Arabidopsis thaliana: one gene and its partner. The protein of the gene in region 1 interacts with the protein of each later gene in a pairwise test. Each region holds a gene or a part of one and is shown in the gene's direction. Other genes may lie near its edges.

Evidence for each region.
Region 2: the proteins of AT5G40620 (region 1) and GCR1 interact in a protein complementation assay, tested with the Arabidopsis thaliana proteins (one large-scale study listed by BioGRID).

Annotation. Positions count from the first base shown.
Region 1 is NC_003076.8:16,267,292-16,275,345, forward strand, and holds AT5G40620 (uncharacterized protein), read left to right. Parts: upstream 1-1,865; 5' UTR 1,866-1,971; coding exon 1,972-2,364; 3' UTR 2,365-2,542; downstream 2,543-8,054. Other genes in the region: AT5G40630 (Ubiquitin-like superfamily protein), read right to left, coding at 4,111-4,304, 4,835-5,138.
Region 2 is NC_003070.9:17,825,036-17,834,604, reverse strand, and holds GCR1 (G-protein-coupled receptor 1), read left to right. Parts: upstream 1-4,184; 5' UTR 4,185-4,390; coding exon 4,391-4,573; intron 4,574-4,767; coding exon 4,768-4,799; intron 4,800-4,883; coding exon 4,884-5,053; intron 5,054-5,182; coding exon 5,183-5,277; intron 5,278-5,425; coding exon 5,426-5,527; intron 5,528-5,629; coding exon 5,630-5,686; intron 5,687-5,772; coding exon 5,773-5,916; intron 5,917-6,007; coding exon 6,008-6,078; intron 6,079-6,164; coding exon 6,165-6,291; 3' UTR 6,292-6,366; exon of another isoform or gene 6,367-6,450; 3' UTR 6,451-6,652; downstream 6,653-9,569. UniProt on the Arabidopsis thaliana protein: Together with GPA1, may regulate the cell cycle via a signaling cascade that uses phosphatidylinositol-specific phospholipase C (PI-PLC) as an effector and inositol 1,4,5-trisphosphate(IP(3)) as a second messenger.

The DNA of each region.
Region 1 (8,054 bases):
CGTTGAGAGAGAGAGAGAAACGTTTACGTGGAAGTAACAGTAGCAGTGTCTTCAATTCTCTATAAGCCGCCATGTTTCGATGGTTGGATCTTGGCGATTTGCTCTATGTTTCCTCCTCTCTTCCTAATCCTCTCCTTTTTTTTTCTTTTTTTTTTTACTTCTGTTATTATTATCTTTAAAAAATCATTAGTTTTTATTTTATTTTTGTTAAAAACAAATATGAATTAATTATGTTCCTAAATTCCGACCAAAAACAATTATATTTCTAGATTGATAATTGTGTTAGCGTATTTATTTTTATATTGAGGTTTCTATAAATTAGTGTAACGTAAACTTCATAAATCGAGATGTATGATGGGTAAAAAAAAAAACAAAAAAAAACGAGATGCATAATTACATAATATTTGTTTTTCTATTGAATTTTCCATATGTTATTGTAACGTAAAATTCTTAGTTCCAAATGATAATTACATGAATTGTTTGCATACATGGGATTCAAATTTCGAGAACACTTAACATTTTTTCTATAAGTTTGTTTTACCAAACTTAAATTTGGATTTAATTAAAAGCGGATGACAAAACAAAAAAAAAAACTTAAATTTGGGTATAAGTAGGAATACGACGGTTATGAGAGAAAAACAGTCTAAATCACTCAACATATCAAAATCACTAAGATATTGTCATTTTTGTTTATTGTAATATTGATCACAATAAAAAGAAAATTTGTTCTCACTCCGCCACTGAATACTAGTCTAGTCACTAGTGCCTTTCCAAGTCTTTCTAACATTCAATTCATAGTGAGCTTGGAAAATGTATAGGTTAGAAAACACCTACATATGATATACAAAAGTTGGAAGGGAAAAAAAATGATATACAAAAGTTTTGAGGAGTTTGATATGTTTAGAAAGTTTTAGACCAAGTATGCTTTAGAATGTATCTTAACCGTGAAAAGTGTAAATAAAATGTCTATTTTTGACCGAGTTCGGATACTGAGTAACCGAGTCATGCGGTAGCTTGTTCGTCTACTTGTAACTTTTCACATGAACCACTTTTGGATTAGATTAGGCGCAACAAGCTCCGTAGGAAAAAAAATTAGAGTATGTGTTTGGTTAATTAGATAGTGTAATTATGTTTACGTACTTCATCGAAAATGTATATATAGATTTGACTTATCACTATTTGTTTTGTGCGTCATATAGCAATCTATGTGAGCTTTTATCGTTAGTTAGTGGCGTACGATTTGCGTTGGTTTGATCCGAAAAGCGAGTGAGTACACGACATATTTTTTTAAATGGCTCGAAGTCCACGTATCACGAATTCACGACATAGTTTTCGTCTTCTAAACTATATAATATAATGTATGGTTTGGTAAATTCAAGACATGAAAATATATTCATTACATACCTTACAAGTTCATAATCTCTCCATGGATATATACAGAAACCACAAAACTAGAAACAAAACCGATTATGTACTGTTATCAATTGAAACTTTTATCTTATAATTAATTAGATTATTATATTTGTGTTATGATCCATCAGTTTCAATCTTTAGATTTTTTTATATATATATAGTGTTATCAAATCCGTTTGACGTATTGCTCTAATTAATAACAACCCATGCACAGTTCAAAGTTATCACTTTAACGAAAAGCAACCACAAACGCTAAAAAAAATATGAAACCATATTCTAAAAACTGTGGAAAAACACAGCCTGTATGATTCAATTTTGGCTAATTCACAACGGAAAACACACATAAACTCTAAAGTTTAGAGTCTAAATTAACACCTGTTTTAAATTACCAAACATATCCATCTCATAATTAATAGCTTTAAATCCCCTATTTATCTCCCTTTTTCCTTTTTATTCATACTCTTCAATTTTCTTCATTGATTTCTCTACATTTATACCATTTCGCGTTAAAAGCCGATATTGAATCGAAAAAGGATCAATCTATACATAAAAATTTATATGTCTCGACAACATTTCTCTTTCGTAATTCTTTTCATAGGTCTTGCTCTAGCCGGTGGAGCTTATGCCGCCAATTCATCTGCACCTTCTCCACCGTCAAATAGCACAAACTTTTTTTTTCCGGAGACCCCCTTCATCTCCACGGTTAACGCAACGGTCGTTCCTGCAGATTACTCTGATTACGAAGTCCCTATGAATCTAGCACCTGATGGAGTCAAAGTCGTGCAAGATGACTTGCCACTTGTCGAAGAAGAAGATAAAGAAGCTGATGAGTTTGCACAACCTGAAGGTAAATCAGATAAGAAAGCAAATCAGCCTAAGGACTCAGCTTCTTCTTCTTATTCTTCCTCTTTCGTCGTCTTTGTCGTTGCTGCTGGATTGTTTTTATTTTGAGGGTTAATAAAACGATGTTGTTTTGGCTCATAATCCATTAATTAATTGTACACATGCAACGTAAATTTAATGGATTTTTTTTGTGGCATCAATCTAAGATCCAATAAACGTTTTGGAATAACTACATATGTATGATACGGCTTGCAGCACGGTAGAACTGTTTTTTTTTTCATATCGAGTTGGTTAGTTCAAAATCAAAAACTTACCATTTGTTAGATAAATGGAAATCTGTCCTTTCAGTGGCCTAAAATCAAAATCGATTTACACTTGCAGAAATCTTTTTCAATACTGTCAACTATATTGTGAACTTAATTAAATAGAGTAATCTGAATCATATCATTTTGATATTATGAAATGCTATAAAAAAAAATACTTTAGAATTTGATCATTATTAGATCATACAGCAATTATTATGATTACTTTGAAAAAAATAAAATAAAAATTATTATGATCATATTTTGCTATGCTCGTTTCACATAGTTTATTCTGTTTATTTTACTCTAAACACATTATTTGTTTTGATTTGCTTATTACAACTCATTATTTTTATTTATTTTAAACTCATATATATAGTTTTTGATTTGCTTAGTAGTACACACTCGTCATCCATTTTAAGATCACCATTTGGACCACAAATAGTTTAGTATTTGTTCATAAAAACTAAAAAAAATCGTTTACAATGTGAGTTGAACTACCAAACTAGGTGTTATAAGTTATAACGAACTTATTATGTAGTCGATCACACTCTTAAGAAAATTCTATAAGCCTTTTTCCCAATAAATTCTTTTACCCTCCAACTTTTCAATTAGTTCTTTTTTATTTCTCTTAACAAATAAAGAGCATTTAAATTATATTTATTATTGTCTTTTTTGTACTTCACCATTGCTTTTAAACCACTTGCTTTTGTGTTGTCGGCTTGCACGCGTGCGATATAATATATATTAACGTTAACTTTTCACCATAATATAATGAAAAAGAAGGCAAATGATTGTAACACATACAAAGTTATTAATTAGTTCTAAAAGCTAATTAACCATACTTCTAGTCTAATCTACAACTAGTTATACCTAAAACTAATTTAACACATGGCTTGTGTTTTTTTTTCTAATCTATTGTATCCTTTTTTACAATATAATTTTAATTTTTTAACATTTGACAAATCATGCAAACAGCTGTTAGCATACATAATAATCTATCAATAGCGGATGAAATTTATTTGGTAGAGATGTAAACTTCGAACTCTAAATTTAGTTACTTATTTAGTTATTTTCATAGCTAACCATTCGTTATTTTGTAACTACTTTTTAAACCTTAATTTATTATAGCAATAACAAAACATTTCATACAGGCTTGTTCTTAGACCCGTTGATTCAAATCGGATCCGTAGATAATCTCCTAATACATGTTTATTCATATTGATAATTATAAATCAGTAAAAACATTTTTTGTTAAGACTTAGTATTACATACCACGCATAACTCTATTGACATTAAAATCATAGCATACAATGTTACACTCAGAAAATTCAATCTTCCAACTTTAATCAATAGGACTAGCAATTTAGCAAAATACAATCAATCACTCAACTCAAAGATTATCAAATGGGAGACGATACAGCGAAATAACAAGCATATACTACTCCTGCAAAATCAAGAACTTATAGCACTTATAAAAGAGAGTGTTTAATAAGTGGGGATTAGAGCTAATTAATCGATTGATTAATCAATTAATAAAGTAAGGAATTAGTTAGACAGTAATTGGGAGATGAATATGTTTCAACTCCTTAAAAGCAGGATCTTGTAATAAAAAGACCTTATCTCCATCTCCAACACCAATCATGTGTAAGTATTCTCTGTCTTCTCTTTCCTTTCCTCTGAACAAGAGTCTTTGCTCTTTTGCCTCAATTCCACTCACTATTGCTATCATCATCTTCAATTCACCTGAAAAATATATATCAAATGAGAAATTATATAATAAGAGATCATTTTGTATCAAAAGATGCTCTAACCATATTTTAAATGTAAATATAGTTAGTTGTCCTGTAATTAACCAACCAGTTACTCGAATAAATATCAAACGCGTTATATTTAATTGCCACAGTATATATAGATCACCCTTTATAGTTGCATACTTGCATGCATAAATCTTGATGAGTTAATCAATAGTATTATATATTGGCACTCTTTGACCGGTGATAGTATCTATAAGGACGATTTATATATCAAAATTTTTAAAGCCAGCTTTACCAAAACAATACTGAGTAAGTATACGATTTTTTGAAAGCTGTTTTCAACAAACAAATTTTTTTTTAAGTTATATATATGTATACTTTTATTTTTGTAAACAACAAAACAATCATATTCTTATACACCTATTATACAACAAAATCTTTGTCAACTATATAATATATATATGAAGAAGAGACGTAAATTTGTTTTGGTTTTCATGTTAAAAGAGGATACGTAATTACCGAAAGTAGAGTTGGCATCAATGGAGATTTCATATGAAAGCTGAGAGACAGTGGAGACTCTAAGGCTGATTAAATCTTCAGTGTTAGAATCTTCTGATCTCTTCTGAACCAGCATCCCTCCAGGCCTCATCTCCCATTTTATGTTGTTATTGTTACATGATGACGATGAAGAAGAAGATGATGATGATAATGATGAAAATGACGATGAAGAAGAAGAAGAAGATGATGATCTTTTATTGTTGCCCGTCCCAATTCTTCCACACCCAAACCCAATGCAAAACCTCTTTGCCATTAACTTTCCCATTATCTTTCTCTCTCTCTTTAATTTCTTTCTTTTTTGCTTGTAAGAAGAAGAGAGATGTGCTGGCTTATATTTATAGAAAATGAGGTTTGGTACACATATTGATAAATTATTATTAAACAAAATTATCATATGTTATAAAGCTAAAGAAATAAAGGGAATTAGGGTGTAAATTCTTTTTTACTTCTTTAGTTATCAAATGTGTGGTAGATTAGTGGCAAAATGACCCGATCTTTCTGTGATGAAAATTGAACTTTCACCCTAGTCCAAATCTTTGGGGATGAAGATTTATACCTTCAAAAAGTATTACTAACGGTTATTCCCGAATTTGAGGAGATTAGGGACTTAAAAACCCTAAATTTTTCTAGTCAACAAAAATATATTTTGTGAAACTTTGTGGATCAGTTTTAAAAATTCTGTTTTATAGTAGTTCATCTTTTTCATAACTGAAAGCTCGATGATTTATTACCTTGATTATACTAGTTTTTAGATTATGTCGTGCAATTCTCCAAAAATAAGGAATAAAAGTTACAAAACATCAACTAATTTTCCAGTGCATGGTTCTGGAAGATTATCTTCTTTCTCCGAATTTGATAACCATTATAGGACTTCCCATCCTTGTCCATTTTTAACATGGTTTTGTTTAAATATAGGAGTCAAATATCTTTATTATTGGTTTTTAGTCTATTACATAATTATTGTCAAGAACAACTCTAATTTCAACAATATAATCTAATTGTCTAAAAATAATGATGACTACCAAACTCTCTTTCTCTGTGGTGGTCTGTACAATTTCTCAATATGTGATGTACTTCATTTGAATTTTTTTCTTTTTTTTTCTAAACATGGGAGGTTTCTATAAAAGTTTCAATTCATGATATAAAACATTAATACCTATGTTTGATGACAAATCTATACATTTGATATTCAGTTTCTTAATTTTATAAACTGAAAAAAACTGAACCAAAAACAAATAAAATCAGATCGAACATACCTAATTGTGCTTAAATACTATTTTTATAATGGTTGTGAATATTTTTCTGTTAATTCGTTGTTAAAGGAAAAAAACGTAATTTTCACAACTTTGCATACACTTTCTAAACCTCTATAATTCGTGTCATGTCATAGCAAAGCGTGTGGATTTTTGTGTTAGTTAATAAGGTATTTGTTAGTTAGGTGAATAAAATCTTTTATATTCAACATTTGCCTCTAAAGATGTCCCTTGAGGCTTACTTTATGATATAGAAGGCCGGTTTGGTTATCCTTTATGGTATCAACCCACGTGGGTCGAAAAAGGCATAAAGATTACATTTTTTGTTATTATATTGATTTGAAATCTTTATAAATTTCAAACAACAACGATTTTCTTTTGCTTAAATCATTGCAATGTACAAAACTAAAATCATTCACATGTAAGGGAAATCTATTTGAATTATACGACGTGACATGTTAATTGTGTTGTTGCTAGACTTTAAACTTGGATATGTGTTATTAATCGATTCATCATCAGCTTCAGGATAAAGATAAATAGATAATATAGTTACCCACAAAAACATGGAACTTGTATATATGTCTTTTGCATTCTTTAGGTTATAAAAACATGGAATTGTGGAGCGTAATGGGCTTGAGATTCAACCTCACGAAAGCAATAAAGAGAAATAGAAATCTAAAAGTCTGCCGGTCAACAGACAAATATGACGAGAGATACACTACGCATGTCAATATATTTGATGCGATTTCCTAGAATCAAATATTATTATTCTATAATTCTTCTGTTAATTATGTATAAAAACATACCGTAAAATCTAAAACTTATGACGGGATAAAAACATACTCTAAAGATGTCTAAAGAGTACTTTAATTTCTTCAAGTTAATGTTTTCTCGTACAATATAGAAAAAGGGATTCGAAATAGATACGAATCACGCGATAGGTCACAAAAAATATTAAGCAGAGTACAAGAGTTACTAATGCAAGCACGTTATGCATGACTAACTATTGTATGTAAAAGAATAAAATCTGCTTATATGTAAAAGAGATTATTTGGTACTTGTTTAGTTGTTTAAGTCGTCGTGAGCATATAGCATCGTTTAGTCTATTATAATTTAATTGTAACTGCGGAAAAATTAAAAGTAAAAGAGATATAAATAAAGTTATCAAAACTTATCAAGTAGTTAGTGGGTTCTTTATTTGTCAACACACGAAAAATCAAATTTGCTTGGAATGGTTGATATTAGATTAAAATCTCTAAAAATACTCAAAAGTAATTCCAAATATGAAACATAGAACACTAACGTCCGATGTCAACCACTTAACACTAAAACAAAGTTGATTAAATAAGCTGAGGTCTCACGTTAAGTAATTTAACAATGGCATAGGAAATAAAGAGTACACAACATAAGCTATTTCTCATTGCACAAATAACTTTGAATGTATTCTATTAAATATCGTTTGGAACACAAGGTTGATTCTCGGACAATTTCCAAAAAATTTGCTCATGTGATCTTGCTCTTTTCTCGCTATACCAGTTCATGGTAATGTTTCTATTAGATAGTGACTAGTCGGCGTAGTAGTTTGAAGTTTCAACAAATTATAAGTTTAGACATAGGCCCAATCTTCTCTCGCTACCAGTTCATGGTAATGTTTCAACAAATTATATATAAGTTTGATTTGAAGTTTGTTGTCTTCAAGTTTTTGTTCCGTACTGATTGGGCCAATGTCTAAAGTACACTAGGCCGTCCAAAAGAGTCTGAAATTTTATTATAACTTAGACACATTTCATATGGGCTTCGTATCTTGGAGAATCATGAGTTGATCGTGATGCCGTCGAAATTTGAAGACTTTGGCCGGCTTTCTCCATCAATTTGGTCGGACTTTTATATTTGAGAGTTAAGTTTACTTTGTCTTTATAATTTTTTTT
Region 2 (9,569 bases), on another chromosome or scaffold:
CAAGATCATTGAGGAGGGTATGAACCTAAACGATATAATGCTTATACTCATAATAGTTGAAACAATGAAAACCAGATTATTGTGCATATTAAAGAATCAGTTAAGCGAGAGTGACCCACTAATAATTTGTCTCACGTTGAGCTGCAAATGGAACAAAGAGCATTTGACGTTTATGATGGGACCATTATGTTTGGAATAAAAGTTTGTATGGTTATTAAGAATGACTAAAATTAAGTAAAAAGAAGAATAGCTTATTTATATGTATGTGGGGGATGAATTTAATTAGAAAAGCTTGAAAAACATGTTTAAGACAAAAGGGAAGATTGAGGACTGAGGAGTATGTCCTAATCATACTCAAACTCAAAGCTGTTAGTGACCATTGGTTTACAAGTTAAGTTATTGACTTATTTGAGCATTTTGGAGACTTTGATCATAATTTGATCATATAATGATATAGAAATTATTTGGTCCGTAAGGCAATTATTGGGCTATGAAGTTGTGCCTTGCTAGGTAAATCTACTTGCAACTATCTGCAATTTTATTGGGTTCTATACGGGAAAGAAAATTAAAAGGCAAGGAAAAGCCTTAATTAGATAGGAAATCATAACTCCCATATGATGAAAACGAGAATATCATAACTACATATGATAAAAAAAAAAGGATTATATAATCAAAATTGAAAGTGAAGAATGGAGGTTAACATATATTTAACCAAATTTGTAAATATGATTATGTTCTTTAATGTTAAGGCATATTGTTAAACATCTAACTATATAATAAGATATCTTGATGTATTGTTTCCGATGTAAATTTTGTTTTTCCGGACTGTTACCAATCATAGAGTTTGTTTTAAAATGGATGTGTGGTTGGCAAAAACAAGTTTATATATGTTTGTGTTTAATGATTAAATATAGTATGTCCTCAAAATTTTCTTAAGATATAATATTTAATTTATGAAGTAATCTTTAAGGAAAACGCAGAAGAAGTAAAGAGTTATATAAAATAAATAAACAAACTAAAATATTGTGTTTTAGTAAGACATATACATAATACTTGATCATCGAATTAAATATGAACACAAATAAATGTTAATTCCGAACCTGATTCCGAAACGTAGCAAAGTATATTGTATATATTACATTAGTGTAGAAAAGATATCATAAGTACGTACTATATATAACATGGTTATTTCAAAATAGGATAGATAGATATACGTAAATGATATACCATGTAAAGCTCTCAAGTAAGAATCGTTAAGATTAATTTGCGTGTGTTGTGCGAAAGAACTTCCGTATTTGTAGATTAGTGGGTAATTAAAGAAAAAAAATGAAACACAATGTAGTATAGGTAAAACTACAACATGAGATTTCTATATATTCAAGTTTGGTCGCAGATGATAAATTGATAACTGTGGTTTAGTGAAACAAAAAGAGTTTAGGGTTTGTATATAATAGAAACTAAAACCCATATATCCAACAAAGACATTGACCAAAGATCAATGAAATCGCTGTTTATTCTCCTTAATTTTCAAAAAGAGATATGGAGAGGCAGATGAAGGATACATATCACTTAAGGCATTAAAGAGAAATAGTACCTTGGAGATGAAACTCTGGAAGAAGGAAGATGAATACTGGTGATAGTCGTCTTCCCCAAAAAAAAAGCTCTTTACATTCTCATTAATGATGAGGATGATGCTCGCTGATTACACATGCAGCTCTTATATGATGATATTATATTCATATGTGACTATGTGAGTTCTTTATATCTCTGCAGGAATGAAAATGAATAGGTTTCTTATATGGAATTTCTTATAAAAAATAATAATATAAGCTTAATGGTACGAGAGATGTCTTGGAAGGGTTAAAAACTTGGGGAAACCGGAAGAAAAATATTGTTTAATAATTAAAGTATAAGGAAAACGAAAGAAACAAAAAAAAAATCATGTATATGTAAGTCATATGTAGACGTCTATTTCATAAATGGAGATCTATTTCATAAATGGAGTACGAATGAAACAATAGTTTAATACGGACAAAATCAGGTGTACCCTTTTTGTATGCAAACTATAACTAAAGATCGAATAAAACCGAAAGGATAATGACATGTGTTATAAATTATCCAAATTAGAAAATTGGATTAGATGATGGGTCATGTTCCTAGAGGAAGAGTATTTTTCCGTATACCTCTCAATTGAAGTAAACATTTCCAGAGTTATTTATGCCAATATCAATGATTTAGTATGTCATAGACTCATAGTAAATGTTTATTTATATATTTGCCATTTTTTTTATTTTATGGTTTAACGAATAAATTTTTTGATCCGTTGTTAATTAAGTCATCAAGAAGTTTTTTTTTAGAATATATTCGGACATGATAATGAATTAATCCAGGAATTTTGTAAGTAATATTAGCTAAAAAATTTCAGTACTTCACAATAATGTATTACTAACAATCACCTCGTGTATGAACTATTTGTATTTGACTATAGAAAGGCTATTATGTAATTCTCAGTCTGAGCGGGTCGGGATAATATTGCAACGTAACTAACATGTTTAGACAAGCCATCATAAAATTTCAATGTATGAAGATAATTCGTAATTGCTGTACTAATTAAATTTATGTAATTTTGTGTGGATTGACAAAATTCGTCTGTTTGGTTTTTGTACGTTTGTTGCCATTTAGTAGATGATATGTCATTGGGTAAATTAGCACACGAAAATCATTTAATATATATAATAAACAGTCATTATAACATGTATACGTAAATTATATTACGAATTGTGATAAGTCTAGCCACGGGGTTTACGACCAAAAGCAATACATAAATAATAATCAGGGAGATCCATGAACTTATATATACAAAGAGTGAGGACACGAGAAGCAATATGTGTCAATGTGTGGAAGAATGTCTCCATCATTAACCTAATTATATTATATTTTTATGTTTTATAATTTTTATGGTCTTCTCCGCTTGGTAGTTTTAGCCTTACAGCCATTAACTATCGTAAATTAGGGTACTAATACTTGTTATTTTTTTTGGTAAAAGGTGAAATTTTATACTATTTTTAGTTTGTGATAGAATTACAGAGAAAACTAGAAACAGATTAAAGCAATCTACGTAAATATAAAAACAACATTACAACTCAAGATGCAAAGGATCACTACTAAGTGGTCAAAGCCAAATTGCAAAAAGAAACACCGATTCCGAACCCGCGAAGCTCAGAAAATTGTGTGGTTGCCACAAAACCGAAGAACTGGAATCATCATCTTAATTGCCACGAGCAAAACTATCCAAGATCCGTCCACAAAACTTCAAGATAGAAGTCTACAACTTCTCTGAGAACTAACGCAAAAACGTAAAAGCAATCGTGGACTTCTATACTAACTCAACAAGATAGCAATGCCACTTAGACTTATTCGCCGCCTCTATTCAACATTCTGACAACCTAGCCAATGCTCGTTATTTGCTTATTATTAGTTCTTACGTACGTGTTTTATATTCGTTTTGAAAAACAAATAATTGTCGTTAATAATCAGCTAATAAATAGTATAAATTTATGACTTGCAAGTACAAGCTTGTTATATATATTACTTGCTTATATATAACTTATTTTTATTTGAATGTTTTGTGCTTAGGATGCTTGAAACTTTGAATGTTTTGTAATTTCTATTGTATATGAGATTTTTTTTCGATTCAAGTTGCAATTATTTTACAAGTAACAAGCAATATCAAATTATTTAGCAAGTAATAAGCCAAATCAAGTTATTTAGCAAATAATCATATTTTATATGTTATAACAAGTCCAAAATTCATTTACTTGAAAGGGGCAAAACGGGTCAGAAGGCCATGCCTAGGTATTTTTGTGCTCGGTGATTGATAGTATAGTCGTGTAGATAATTTATTTAAAAACAATAGTATACATAATTTGTTATAATATTATATATATATATATATATATATATATTTATTTTTATATAGAGTATACTATAAATAAGATTAATTATAAAATTAAATAGTATAATATTTACATGTGCATAACATAAGTTATTACCTAGTATAATTTAAATATTCATACATGTATAAAATTAAAATTTTCCAAAAATATGTGATAACTTGACATGTAAATAACATCATATAAATGTTTTTAATAATTAATATAGCATATATGAATTAATGCTTAACAAAATCATTGGGCTGGGCCTAAAGAAGTGCACTACGAGGAGTCCGGTTCAAAAGACACGACTTGACCCGACCGATCCGACCCGGGTAAGAGGTTAGCCCACCACGCAACGTCCGTCGGGGAAGATACCACGCGACGGAAACGACGAACACGAACAGCGGAAATCGTCAATTCAATCTCTCAGATCAGTTTTGGAATCACATATAACAATGTCGGCGGTTCTCACAGCCGGCGGAGGCTTAACTGCCGGGGATCGCAGCATTATTACGGCGATTAACACCGGCGCTTCGAGTCTCTCATTCGTCGGCTCAGCCTTCATCGTTCTCTGCTACTGCCTCTTCAAAGAACTTCGAAAATTCTCTTTCAAGCTCGTCTTCTACCTTGCTCTCTCTGTAAGTTTCCCGTTGTTGCCTTTCGCTGATTGTGCTAGATCTAGGATTATGTACTGTTTTGCTTCCTTCTTCTTCGATTATTCTCACTGTGAATTGTTACATCGCTAAGACGTTAAGTTCCATTGCGTTCTGAGATGAGTAGTGAGGGTTCGAGCTCTATTGCTGACTAATGGCAATGTTTTTAATTGTTGCAGGATATGCTTTGCAGTTTCTTCCTAATCGTTGGGTATGTTTATCTACTACTATTGGTTCTGGTGAATCTTGTTGAGATTATTTTGATAAGATGATTGTTACATCTTGATCACTGTAGGGATCCTTCAAAGGGGTTCATTTGTTACGCACAAGGCTACACTACTCATTTCTTCTGCGTTGCTTCGTTCTTGTGGACAACTACAATTGCTTTCACTCTTCATCGTACTGTTGTCAAGCATAAAACTGATGTGGAGGATTTGGAAGCAATGTTTCATTTGTATGTATGGGGTATGTAAAATGATACTCGTGGGTTTCGGTTCTCAATTGTTACTATATCCACCTAGGGTTAAGGATTAGAATGTGTTAGTATCTTCTTTGGTGATTTAGTAAGACTCTGATTTTAGTTACTTTTCTCAGGGACTTCCTTGGTTGTGACTGTCATACGTTCTTTTGGTAACAACCACTCACATTTGGGGCCATGGTGCTGGACGCAAACTGGTCTTAAGGGAAAGGCAAGTGAGAATGCTTAGTTGAGCATAAAGATTTCAATGCCTATCAAAAGGCATTTGAACTTTTTTGTTGCAACGCTGGGCCAGATGAATGTAGACTAGTATTTTATTCTTCGTTACTGGAACTCATATCACCTCTTGAATTTTGCAGGCTGTTCATTTTTTAACTTTCTACGCTCCTCTTTGGGGAGCCATTCTTTACAATGGGTTTACTTACTTCCAAGTGATACGGATGCTAAGAAATGCTAGACGTGTATGTAACTCTCTCATCTCTAATAACATTGTCTTCTGAAAGTAGTTCACAAACGTTACTGATACACTTGGCTGTGTGCTGAAATGGCAATGTTAATTTCAGATGGCAGTTGGAATGTCAGACCGAGTCGATCAATTTGATAATAGAGCAGAGTTAAAGGTCTGTCTTTATTGCCAATACTAGTTCTGTATCATGTGGCTGGATTTCATCATTAAAACCTCACTGCTTGTTTCCTGAAACCACAGGTGTTGAACAGATGGGGATACTATCCACTCATTCTAATAGGATCATGGGCATTCGGCACTATTAACCGTATCCATGATTTCATCGAGCCAGGGCATAAGATCTTCTGGCTCTCAGTTCTTGACGTTGGGACAGCTGCACTAATGGTAGCAAACCTATCAAATAAATAAGTTATAAAATTCGCCATAGATCATCTTTGCTCTTCCCGAGTCGATGTTCTGAATGTTGTATTTTCAGGGCTTGTTCAATTCAATAGCCTATGGTTTCAACAGCTCAGTGCGTCGAGCAATCCATGAGAGACTGGAGCTGTAAGTCACCACCGATCTCTTTGGTTTGCTATATTATTCCCAATAATCAATGAAGCTTGATTTTTATGAAACCCTTGGTCTGCTAGATTCTTGCCAGAACGGCTATATCGATGGCTTCCAAGCAATTTCAGACCAAAAAACCATCTGATTCTACATCAGCAACAACAACAGCGAAGCGAAATGGTATCACTCAAGACCGAGGACCAGCAATGACACTAACTTTCAACTAATACATTGGACCGATAACAAGAAGGCGGCGATGATAATAGCGTTTGGATGGAGAGATTGGTAAGTTTCCTCTATGATTGTTTTGTCTTTAATTTCCGTTTACATGGATCAGTAAGTGTGTTTTGTTTTGTGTTTCTCTCTTAGATATGGTGAAGGGGGGTGCACAACAGGTTGTCAATGTATATGAAACATTCTTTGGGAACACGAACTTAACAATTTATTTATTTTTGTATGAACTTTTTTATTGTGAGGTCTTCTGATCTTGATTTGAAATTAACGAACTTGGAGTTCTTGGACGACAATGTTGAAGAGTTTTGTTACGTAAGTCATATGAAAATACTATCACTTAAACCGGCGCCGTTTCTAAAGAGGAATTACAAAATTCGTATCAATCTTCAAAACCCTAGAGATCACCGCGATTTCTTTCTCCCCAAGACTGAACGACTCTGTCTTCAAACTCGGGTGGGGATTGAGATGGGTTTGTCTTTTCGTCTAACAGTGATCCAACAGTGGAGAAAGAAGAAAAGAAGACGAAGCCAAGCACTACTGGAGATTCCAACGGATGTGGTGACAGAGATTCTTACGAGATTCCCTGTTAAAACCCTAATGGATTCAAGTGCGTCTCAAAGCTCTGGTCATCTATCATACGCTCTCCATAGTCCATACTTTACCAGTCGTTTCATTAAGGTCCCATCTCAACGAATTTACATTTGTGTATCACATTTCGAGGACTACCGTCCCTCTAAAATCCTATCATTAGCTCCATCCGCTACTAGTCCATCTTCCTCCTTTGTTGTTGACCATCCGAGATAGGGGAGGCAAGATCTTACAAAAACTTAGTGGCTTCATCTGCTACACATTTTTGAAAAAACCGCGAATGTATAACCCTACCACCAGACAACTTGTGACCTTGCCCACCATAAAATTAAAAACCAAAACCTCGGCTCCAGAAAGGTCGAAGTGGTGTTACTATTTTGGACATTACCCTATTAACGAACAGTACAAAGTTACTCTGCTCAGTTGTCGTCGGATATTTTATTTTATCATCAGACCATTGGGTCTTTGACCTAAAACCTGGAGGTTCGTGGAAAAAGGTGACTTTGCCTCCCGTGGACTTTTATCCTCACCTTCCTCTTAGACAAGGACTATCATTGAATGGGGTTATACATTACCTGGCTTGGATTGATTCGTCTAATTATATGGTTGTGAGCTTCGACATCGGATATGAAGAATTCAAAATGATCGAGTACCTCACAGGGAAGAAGATGTGAGCCTGCATAGAGCCATCAAGAAGGTGTGTCTTATAGAATATGGCGGAAAAGTAACTGTTTTTTACCATACCGATCTTGAAGACAAGAGTACAGTGAATTTATGGGTTCTAGAAGATGTCAGGACAAAGGAGTGGTTGGCGAAAACTCTGGTTTTGCAACCTTGTCCGCTGCATTTGGTCAAGAACGTTAGATTGGATTGGAGTTAAAAGGTATAACTCAAAGTGGCAAGGTTATAATGACACCAGATTATTTGTTTGATATGTTGTACATTCTTTGTTGTGATCTGCAAAGTAATGATATTAGAGAGATTAAAATCAAAGGTATACATTACCATTATGTTCCTAAGAAGGGTGAATTTGTGCCTACTCAATTTAGTTTGATGTTTATGGATCAGAGATCAGAGTGAGAGCGTCATGTACTTAAAGACTTGAATATTGTAGCTCTAATGCATGCAATTGAGACCATAAAAGAAGCTGCATCTGTGGTTTGTGCAATACAGTAACCTTTCAAAAATGAATATGGGTCCATAACAAGAAGACGGCGTATGATACATAGCATTTGGATGGAGATTGGTAGGTTATTTTTGTTATGCCTTTAAATTCCTTATGTTAATGACTACCAGTCTACCACTATGTTGTCTTCTTCTTCTCTTGTGATGTAGCACAACCATTCGTCAATGTACAAAAATAACATTCTTTGGACACGAGAGATCAAAGGAACTACTGCATGATTACACTTTATAGATTCAAATGATGCAATCTCAAACAAAGTACAACAAATACATTTTTATACAAAAACAGGTGACAAACTTTTTCTAGTACTATTAGTACTGAACAAATATGTACTTCAAGAAAAAGGTGAAATCTGATGCCTTTAAAACATTACTACATAGACTACTTCACACAAATATAATCAACTCTAGTTGACCTGTATACAAACCTCCTCCTAATCATTTTTCTTGGTTATGTCTTTTTTTTTACTTTTTGTTATTTGTTTCAAGTGAACTTTATCCTTTTAAAAACTTTCTCGCATCTGAAAAATAACAATTGAACAAAACAAAAACACATCATGCGAAATCTAATTAAATCAAATCGATCAGTGAATAATAGTAAATTGATAAACAACAGATAAAAACAATCGGATCATATCCATCTCCTTACACAATTTCAATGCTTTTCCCTCTTTTTACAAATGCATTGATTAATGCAGTGAAAGTGACTAAACCAGGGTTGATTACTGTTTCCGCTTCATCATATGAAGAACAAAAAAAATCGGAACCCCGATGTAGTCACTTTCAATGCATTGATCGACGCAATAAACTGGTCAAAAACCGAGATCAAGCAAAAGAGAAGTACTGATCAAAGCTTCGGCAGAAACAATGGAATTTTCATAGAAGAGAAGGATGAGTTAGAGATAAGTGAGAGAAGGTTGTATATAAATATGAAGGAAGAAGAGAAAGAGAAAAGCGGCGGAGTTAGGTCGAAGAAAACAAAGAAACCCTAATTCAGTAATGGGCCAAGATGTGGATACATGCGGCCCAAATAAAGTTTACAATTTATAACACGAAGCTAATTAATTGGTGTACTACCAAGTAAACGGAAAAAAGTTGCAACTACAACAAGGCTCGTCCTCGTAAGCATGACGAGTGTGAGAATCCCGATGTAATTCTTAGGCCTGGGGCATAATACCCGAACTCGAAGAACCGAACCGAACTCGACCCAAAATACTTGAATCCGTTTTATTTCGGTTCCGGCTAATTATCCGATCGGGTTTTGTTTTCAAATAACTGTGGGTATCGGGTATTACCCGAACCGAATCTGATACTCGTGGGTACTTTTTATTACCCGAACATATATATACATATGAGGACATATATGCACTAATAACTTGAATCTGTGACTTGTTTAATGATTTGAGTTCTGGAACAAGTTCAAAACAAGGTTTACTTCTTGTTTTATATTATTGTCTTAAGAAAAAAAACTTGTTATAATT